Linked DNA regions of Zea mays. The protein of the gene in region 2 binds, or shares a complex with, the protein of the main gene of each other region. Links are inferred from orthologs where the notes say so. Each region holds a gene or a part of one and is shown on either strand. Other genes may lie near its edges. The genes, in order: Nucleolar complex protein 2 homolog-like and uncharacterized protein LOC100501347.

Region 1 (4,387 bases), on a different chromosome or scaffold from region 2:
TCAATCTCATCCAATTCATATAGGATAGGAATAACCGAACAAGGCCTAAGTATAGTTTGGAAACTTAAGGCATGTTTGGTTTGCTATTTAACTTACCACACTTTGCCTAATTTTTCTGTCTAAGGTTAGTTATTCAATTCGGACGACTAACCTTAGGCAAAGTGTGACATATTTAGCTAGGGATGAAAACGGTTTCGGAATTTTTCGGTATTCCGGAAACCGATTTCGAAATTTTTCGGTCGGATTCATCGGTAACGGTATTTTTCGAAAACGGAATCGGTTTTCGGAATTTTCTATCGGAATCGGTATCGGAATCGACGTGGTGTTTTACCGACCGTTTCCTTCGGTTACCGGTTTTTGTCGGAAATTACCGGATCTGTGTCTCGGAATTTTCCGGAATTGTGTCTCGGAATTTTTCGGAATTGTGTCTCGGAATTTTTCGGAATTTTCCAGCATGTGATTTTTCGCATCGTCTGTACGTCTCTAGATAAGGATTACTTATTTTTGTATTTTTTGGACACCTTTAGAATTTTTTTGGATAGATGGTGTTGGAAGGCAGTTGAGATTAACAATTTGGTCTTTTCCACACACTAGGTTTTAGGGTTTTCCTGTGAGGTTGTGAAAAACTCTTTATGTGAGGAAAAAATATTTCATAAGTAAGCATGCATGTCAGCTAGATCAAGTGGATATTATGAATTATGAACTTTGAGTCTATGAACTTGTGATCTTTATGAACTTATTTACTATGAACTTGTTATATTGTGAACTTGTGATCTTTGTACACTTTTTATATTATAAATTTTTAATCCTTGTGAACTTTTTATATTGTGAACTTGTTATATCATGAATTGTGAACTTGTGGTCTTTGTGATCTTTTGTCAACTTTGTTGTATTATGAAGTTTGATATATTCACCGATTGTATTTTAGATTCCGACCGTTACCGGTGTATTTTCCGCACCAAACTTTCGTTTCCGATGTTTCCGAAATATCGATATCATTTCCGTTTCCGGAGTTACCGTTTTCGATTTTGTTTCCGATAAAAAATATGAAAACGGTAATGGTTTTAGTGTTTACCGACCGTTTCTGACCGTTTTCATCTTTATATTTAGCTACGAACCAAACATGCCCTTAAATTTCCTTCGTGTTCGGAGAAGATTGAGCAAAAACATAGTTTATTTTCCCCTTAATTCCTTTTAATTCAGAGACGTTTTGAACTGGCCCTTATAGTAAAATCGACTCCCGGGGATTGGGCCCTAACCCGGCCAGTTCCGGCCCAAACGAGCAAGCCTTAAGCCCTTAACTGACGCTTGTGAGGGCGTCGGCAGTTCGCGACACCCCGTGCAGCCGTGCTCTTCCGCTTGAACTAGGGCGCCTCCGCCTCCGCGCCCGCGCCGCCGCCGGCTGTAGCCATGTCCGACGAATACGGTGGGCTCCTCATCCATCCACATTTCTGTGGGTTACTCTATGCTCTATTGCTATTGCGCTTGTTTAACTTGGGATTTTGATTGGTTTTCTTCCCCTTTCGCTGTGGTTTTGGCGGGGGATTAGTGGACTTGCCCGTCTCGGACGAGGATGAAGAAGAGCTCGAAGATGAGATGGATGATGGTGATGGGGAGAGTGGTGGTGGAAGCTCGAAGAAAAAGGCCAAGCAGCACGTGGAGCAGCTCAAGCGGCTGCAGCAAAAGGTTTGTCCCTGTCGCCTCCGGTTTATTGTTACTATTACTTAAAAATGATGCTTAACAGTGTAAGTGGATTTTTGATAGTTCCTGAATGTGCCTATTCTTTTCTTATGCTTTATTATTACTGGTTGCCCACCTGAGTATATGACTTTTAGGTTCGCCTGTGCCCTTGTGCTGTTTGTCCTGTAGATACTTTTAAATTGAATCTGCAAGCTGGTACGGTTGCCCTTGTGGACAGTAACTATTTTAATTGATTCAGAAATTGATTGCAGTCTGGCAATCTGCTGAGTTAATGTAGTATTTGAAACTGCTGATAGTAGGTATCGTAGAATGGGCTATAAAGTGACTGGCTGCAAAATAGTATTAGTTGGACCAACTTCCTTCAGAGGTGGATCTGTGTTATAGAGATAAGTTGAGAGGTGGACAATTGTGTAGAACGATGATGTTTTTCTATGTTCGTTTCATTCCCAATTTAACCATATTGTAATGGTAGTTATGCTACAAAATGAGTAAGGAATGCCACATAATAACTGTTTTGACCTAAACTGCTGTTGCATTAAATTTAACATCTTGCATACTCCAATAAGTGATCCCTTGAGCTTACACTCTAACTTTAAGGCTTGAATTGTCGCCTGCCCCATTCACTGATTGTGGAAATGGCATTGTCATAGGCTCATAACATTTGATTACTCACTCTGGCATAGCTTTCCTGGTTTTTACTTGCTCAATTTACATTCATTGGTTAGAAACAATAACATTCCCTGGTAGATTATTTTTGTATAGTATTGGTGTCCCGCTTATTATATCTGTTGCTTAAATCCTGAACTATGTTAACTAGGGTTGCACAGTTTAGCCTAAGGCCCACAAGTAGCTATTCGTTTTGAGAAATATGCATTTCTCCCCTTCCTAATTTCTGTCTGTCTGCTGCTGTGCTGCATGCCATAATATATGTTGGTTGTTTTTGAGGCTTATGTCCTTTTTTGATTTTATGTAGGATCCTGATTTCTATAAATATTTAGAAGAGTTTGATAAAGATTTGTTGGGATTTGATGATGATGATGATGAAATCGAGGTAAGCTGGTCCCTTTTTGTGAGTTTTCTATACTAGAATGATGAGTGGTCATTGTTCTACATTACATTTAGAACGACCGGGAGACTGGGGTTGAGGAGAAAGAGCAATATGTATCTAAAGAGGAACTGAAGCATGTGAAACCGATTACAATGGAAATGGTTGATTCCTGGTGCAACGGAGTAGAGAATGAAAAGATAGGTTCTATCCGTTCTATTCTTCAAGCTTTTCGCAGAGCCTGCCATTATGGTGAAGATCATGGGGACAATTCAACTCCGAAGCTCAGTGTCATGTCTGGCAGCGTACTTGATAAAGTTATGCACTTTGTTTTGAAACACATGGATAAAGTCCTCCGTCAATTACTTGGTGCCCCAAGCTATGGAGGGAAGAAAGAGGTAATCAGTGAGCTGATGCTGAGTAAGTCATGGAAGAGGCATGGTAATCTTATGAGGATCTATCTTGCCAATGCGCTTCATATGATAACAGAGATGACCGATGAGCAAATGATAGCATTTACTGTACACCGTGTCAGAGCATCAGCTGTTTTTCTGGCAGCTTTCCCATCGCTCCTGAGGAAGTATGTTAAGGTGTGTAGGTTACAATTTCTACTTTACCTTGGCTTTGAGTTATTTTTGGCATTGCTCTGCTATCTATCTACCAAGTTTGTTATTTACTTCTGTTTGCACGCTTCAATTGTAGGCTCTGCTCCATACCTGGGCTAGAGGACGAGGTGCAATGCCTCTTGTTTCTTTTATGTTCCTTCGAGACTTGTGCATTCAAGTAGGTTCAGATTGCCTTGATACTTGCCTCAAGGGTATCTATAAGGCTTATTTGGTGAACTGCAAACTGTCCAAATCTATCAGCGGATCAAAACAACAACACATTCAATTCCTTGGAAATTGTGTCAGAGAATTGTATAGTCTGGATCCACAAAGTGCGTATCAGCATGCTTTTGTTTTCATCCGTCAACTGGGGGTTATCCTAAGAGGAGCTCTTACTGAAAGGGGGCCAAAGGTATTCATTGAACTCATTGCCATGTACTGGAACTTTGTTGTCTACCTATGACCTGACAGATATTTGCCTCTCATTTTATTTTGAAAGTCAGTGAAGGACAAAAGGCAGAAAGAAAGTAGCAAATCATCGAAAAAACAAGCGGAGGTATTATTCATACTGCTACTCAATTACTGATACTCTATAACCTTTAAAACATCAGACCTTAAATAACTCCCCATATTCTTCCACCTGTTTTATTGAGAAAATCTCACCTTTACAAAATGCTATCGCCCCACCCCCAGTGTTTTTTTTTCTCGAACACGCAGGAGAGCTGCGTATCATTTCATTAAAAGAAGGATGATAATTACAATGACCTAAACACCACTTACACAAACACACACAAACAACACTAGTAATAACCACCTTCTAACCGGGGTTGAACACAAAAGCTAGGTCCGAAAGACGGGTCAAGCCTTTGGCCCCCCCCCCCCAAAACACCACATATTGAACTCATCACTGGCTGAGGTAAGCAATCTAGCTATAGAAGGCTGAGCACCATTGAAAACACAGTCATTACGGTGTCTCCAGATAGTCCAAGCCCCAAGAATCACCAAAGAGTTAAGGCCATCTCTAAGGTCCTTAGGA
Region 2 (4,466 bases):
CATTTCATCCATCTCGCTTTGATTCTATGGCTAACATCTTCATCAATATCATCATCTCTTTGTAGCATCGATCCCAAATAATGGAAGGTGTCCTTTGGTACTACCTGGCCTCCCAAGCTTACATCTCCATCCTCACTAATTGTAGTACCAAAGTCACATCTCATATACTCGATTTTGGTCCTGCTAATTCTAAATCCTTTTGACTCTAGGGTCTGACGTCATAACTCTAGTTTCATGTTTACTCCTTCCCGGCTTTCATCTACTAGAACTACATCGTCAGCAAAAAGCATACACCAAGGGATATCTCCTTGAGTCCGTGTATATCTCTCGTGACCTCATCTATCACTAAGGCAAATAGATAAGGGCTCAAAGCTGAAACTTGATGTAGTCCTATGTTAATCGAGAAAACATTTGTATCTAATCAATAAAAAACAGATCAGGCAAAGACTTGACACTGACACGCAAAATGAGTATTTACCTTACTACATCATCTGAGGAGCTTAAATTTTTTACCACACTAGCCAATAGGCTTTCACGGAAGTTAAAATGTGGGGCAGTGTCTAATAAAGCACACATGCAACGAACAGCCACAGTATAAAAGTAGGGCTGCTTCTCCAACGATATCAATTTCTGCAGGTAGGCCTGAAAATTCACAAAAGAAAACCAACTTCGGCCATCAGAATTTTGGAAGATATCCAGAACACCAAAATCGAAGGTGAAGAACAGTTCAAATCAGTATGTAAATAATACTCCCTCCGTCCCAAAATATTAGTCGTTTTAGCCCTTGAATTTTGTCTATTCAAATGGATGACAATGAATCTAGACATATTATATTATATATATATATATATATAACACATACATTGAGTATTATATGGATCTATTAAAATGCTAAAATGACTAATATTTTGGGATGGATGGAGTATCTACTTTTAGCATAGTTCATGGGCTCATGGACAGAAAAAAAATCACTGTGCATGAAGGACACCCAAAGCATGACCTTGTAGCAGCGAATAAGTGTGTACTCATAATATCTTGTCTTCTTCACTTCTTTCGAAACTTCTACTGCTAGCTCCTTTTCTGTCAGCTGCCTAATCCGATAACTGAAGTGTGCATAAAAAACATGCATAAGTGACTTGGGAAGAAACAAATCCAGCCAAGGTATATAACAAAAATTAACTGCAACATACCTTGGAATAACGTCCTTAAACACAGCAAGCAAAGACATCACACCAAGTTTAACAACCTTTTGGTCTCTGTCATTGCTTATACTTAGCATATCATTCAGAGATCTAATGTTCGACTCAGGATCTTCAAGCATAGACATCCCCAGTTCAGCAAGTTGAGCCTTCTTTTTTTCGAATAATTCCTCAGCTGAAAGTTCCTCCTTCACTTCCTCCTGCCATGTGTCATGCATAGTAAAAAGGTATGTGAGGGAATTAATTTTGATTAGAAAATGTAGAGATTATGGTAAATCAGTAGAACATTCCCAGACTAAAACTTCTGCAGTTTGTTAGATTGACCCAACCTTTGATAAAAATGGGCGAAATAGTTAATTTGGCTCAAAATCTTCTGTTTTATTCAGCCTATAGTATTTTATGTTTTTTTGTGAATGATTCTTATGTCAACATCGAGTTGTCGAGCCTTCAGTTTGGGGTACATACAAACCACTTTCTATATCTTACTTGAGGTTGAATATGCCTAATATACTTACATATTTACTACCAAACATAGAAAATCCATTACAATCATGCTTCATGACAATAGTATGATCAGATATATACATCCTTACTCTAAAGAAAGGAACCAAGAAACTGGTATACTTATTCTACCAACACACCCTGAGCCCTAAAATGAACTAGAGTAAGTGAGCAACTAGAAAAGAGATTTCAAAAATGAATTTTGACTGATGCATATTTATAAAAAGGAACAGAAGTAATACCAGCACATTTGAGTGTAGTTGTCCCTTTGGAACTTCAGTTTGGGATTGAATATTTTTCACTTTATTATCATCTCCCTTTTTGTTTTTAGATTTTCCCTTTGATTCATCTTTTTTAGTATTTGTCTTGGCATTTGCACCATTCTCTTGAGCTTTAGTCTTAACACTGCCGGAATTGTCTTCAGACCTTGCTTTCTTAGCTGCATGTCATGACATACATGTTACAAAATTATGTGACTATTACACCATAAACAGAACAAAATTGAAAAAACACACCGTCATTATTCTTCAATAATCGGACGCCAATGTGTAAAAATGTCATTTGCAAGTGATAACATGTTTTATTAACTGCAAGTGCATTACAATTTACAGGACATTCCAGTTTTGCACAGGTTAAAAAGTCGTTACAATAATCACGTTACTAGAAACTCGGACTTGATAGTTATGATTAGCCACTGGCATTGTGTATCTACTGGAACCACGAACGGTTTACCTCTATTGTAGACGAGCTCCCCTTGCAGCGTCTTGGTGGGGAGTGCGTCGACGGGGTCGACCTCCAAATAATCATCATCCTCGCGGGGTCTCCCCGACGATTCTGTGGCCTTCCGCTTCTGGCGCTCTTCGTAGAGGCGCTCGACCTCGCCCTCGTCGCGCCCGGCAACCCTCCCGACATACCTTCACGAACCAAATGGAAATTCTACGCTCAATCAACAGCAATGCAACAACAAGGGAGGGAAGTGAGGAATTGGGAGGCGCAGCGTCCCGGAGCCCAGCGACACCAACCTGTCGATGGACTTCTTGTCGAAGTGGCGGAAGGGTGTAACGTTACTGCTGTCGGTGGCATAGAACTCGATGTCTTCCTCGCTGACATCCACCTCATCGTCGTGTATTTCCGGCGGCAGCTCCGGTGGGAGAATGACCTTGTTCTTGTCCTTCCTACTGCTGCCGCTCCTCTTCCCCATCGAGACTGGCGGCGGCTAGTCCCGAATTGCAGTACGAGAAAGGAGGAGGCGCGGCGGGTTTGGGGTTCAGGTCAGGGTAGGGTTTTGCCGTTTTGGCGCAGCGTTGAGACTTGAGACGCGGCGGCGCGAGTAGAGGAAGAAGAAAGCGTGCTTGGTCTGGTGGGCCGCTGGTTTGGTCCTGAACCGGGCCTGCTGAATACTATAACCGGGCCGGAAAGGCCTTATTTTTTTCTTCTTCTTTGGATTCGATTGGATTATAATCACAGCATTCGATTCTTCTCTACTTGCCCTTGGGAATTTTGAAACGGCGGTTGAAAGAATCAGAAATAATGGTTCTTTTTTTCTTTTCTGAATAGGCGGTTATATAAAAAACGAAAATATATAGGGCTAAAATTGATCATGTGCCAACAAATATCAAAACCAAAGTTTGACATATCATATTTGGTTGTAGGCCAAGATTTGGAGTAAAAAAATGACCTGATTTGAGAATGGCCAAATTCTGGCATGACCAACTAGGGCATGCATCCAATTCATAAAATGTATCCCCTCCCTACATCATCATCAACATCAACATAGCCTTTTAGTCTCAAGCAAGTTGGGGTAGGCTACTGTCGGCGTTTCAAGACCGGGGGGTCCCTGGACCGACGAGTAAACTGTCGCCGCGTGCCCCAGCCCAGATGGGTCGGCGCGAGACGGAGCGCGAAGGGGGGAAAGGCAGCCGGAGGGAGACGGGCGTAAGAGGTGGAAATCTCGCGGCCTTCGTGTTTATCCCGCGCCCAGGTCGGGTGCACTTGCAGTAGGGGGTTACAAGCGTCCACGCGGGAGGGAGCGAGCGGCCTCACGTGAGCGTCTGTCCCGTCCTTTCCCCCACGCGGCCAACCCTCTGTAAGAGGGCCCTGGTCCTTCCTCTTATAAGTGCAAAGAGAGGATCCAGGTGTACAATGGGGGTGTAGCAGTGTGCTAACGTGTCTAGCGGAGGAGAGCTAGCGCCCTAAGTACATGCCATTGTGGCAGCCGGAGAGGTCTTGGCACCCGGTTCGTGTGGTGTCGTGGCCGTCGGAGGAGCGCTGGAGCCTGGCGGAAGGACAGCTGTCGGGGTTGTCGAGTCCTTGCTGACGTCCTCTTGCTTCCGTAAGGGGGCTGAGAGCCGCCGTCGTCATAGAGCGTGTGGGGCACCATCATTACTTGTCTGGTGGAGCGAGCCAGATGGGACGTCGGTCTTGTTCCCCGTAGCCTGAGTCAGCTTGGGGTAGGATAATGATGGCGCCTCCTGTTGACGTGGTCGGTCCGTGCCCTGGGTTGGGCGATGTGGAGGCTCCTCCGAGGTCGAGGTCGAGTCTGTCTTCTGAGGCTGAGGTCGAGTTCGAGCCCCTGGGTCGGGCGAGGCGGAGACCGTCGGCTGAGGCTAGGGCTGAGTCCGAGCCCTGGGGTCAGGCGAAGCGGAGTTCGTCGTCTTCCGGGGCTGAGCCCGAGTCCGAGCCCTGGGGTCGGGCGAAGCGGAGTTCGTCGTCTTCCGGGGCTGAGCCCGAGTCCGAGCCCTGGGGTCAGGCGAAGCGGAGTTCGTC

The links.
Region 1: uncharacterized protein LOC100501347 (region 2) and Nucleolar complex protein 2 homolog-like share a complex: the UniProt entries of both Arabidopsis thaliana proteins name them as parts of the nucleolar complex. The link is inferred for Zea mays from reciprocal best matches to the Arabidopsis thaliana genes AT1G79150 and AT2G18220.

The regions. Positions count from the first base shown.
Region 1 is NC_050100.1:25,926,413-25,930,799, forward strand, and holds the start of Nucleolar complex protein 2 homolog-like, read left to right. Parts: upstream 1-1,318; 5' UTR 1,319-1,410; coding exon 1,411-1,426; intron 1,427-1,549; coding exon 1,550-1,686; intron 1,687-2,674; coding exon 2,675-2,752; intron 2,753-2,823; coding exon 2,824-3,336; intron 3,337-3,448; coding exon 3,449-3,763; intron 3,764-3,850; coding exon 3,851-3,907; intron 3,908-4,387. UniProt on the Arabidopsis thaliana protein: Together with SWA2, probably involved in pre-ribosome export from the nucleus to the cytoplasm.
Region 2 is NC_050096.1:74,285,198-74,289,663, forward strand, and holds the start of uncharacterized protein LOC100501347, read right to left. Parts: upstream 3,050-4,466; 5' UTR 2,902-3,049; coding exon 2,723-2,901; intron 2,615-2,722; coding exon 2,433-2,614; intron 2,140-2,432; coding exon 1,943-2,139; intron 1,400-1,942; coding exon 1,191-1,399; intron 1,104-1,190; coding exon 1,001-1,103; intron 643-1,000; coding exon 479-642; intron 1-478. UniProt on the Arabidopsis thaliana protein: May be required for synthesis of 60S ribosomal subunits and the transport of pre-ribosomes from the nucleoplasm to the cytoplasm. Also required for initiation of DNA replication.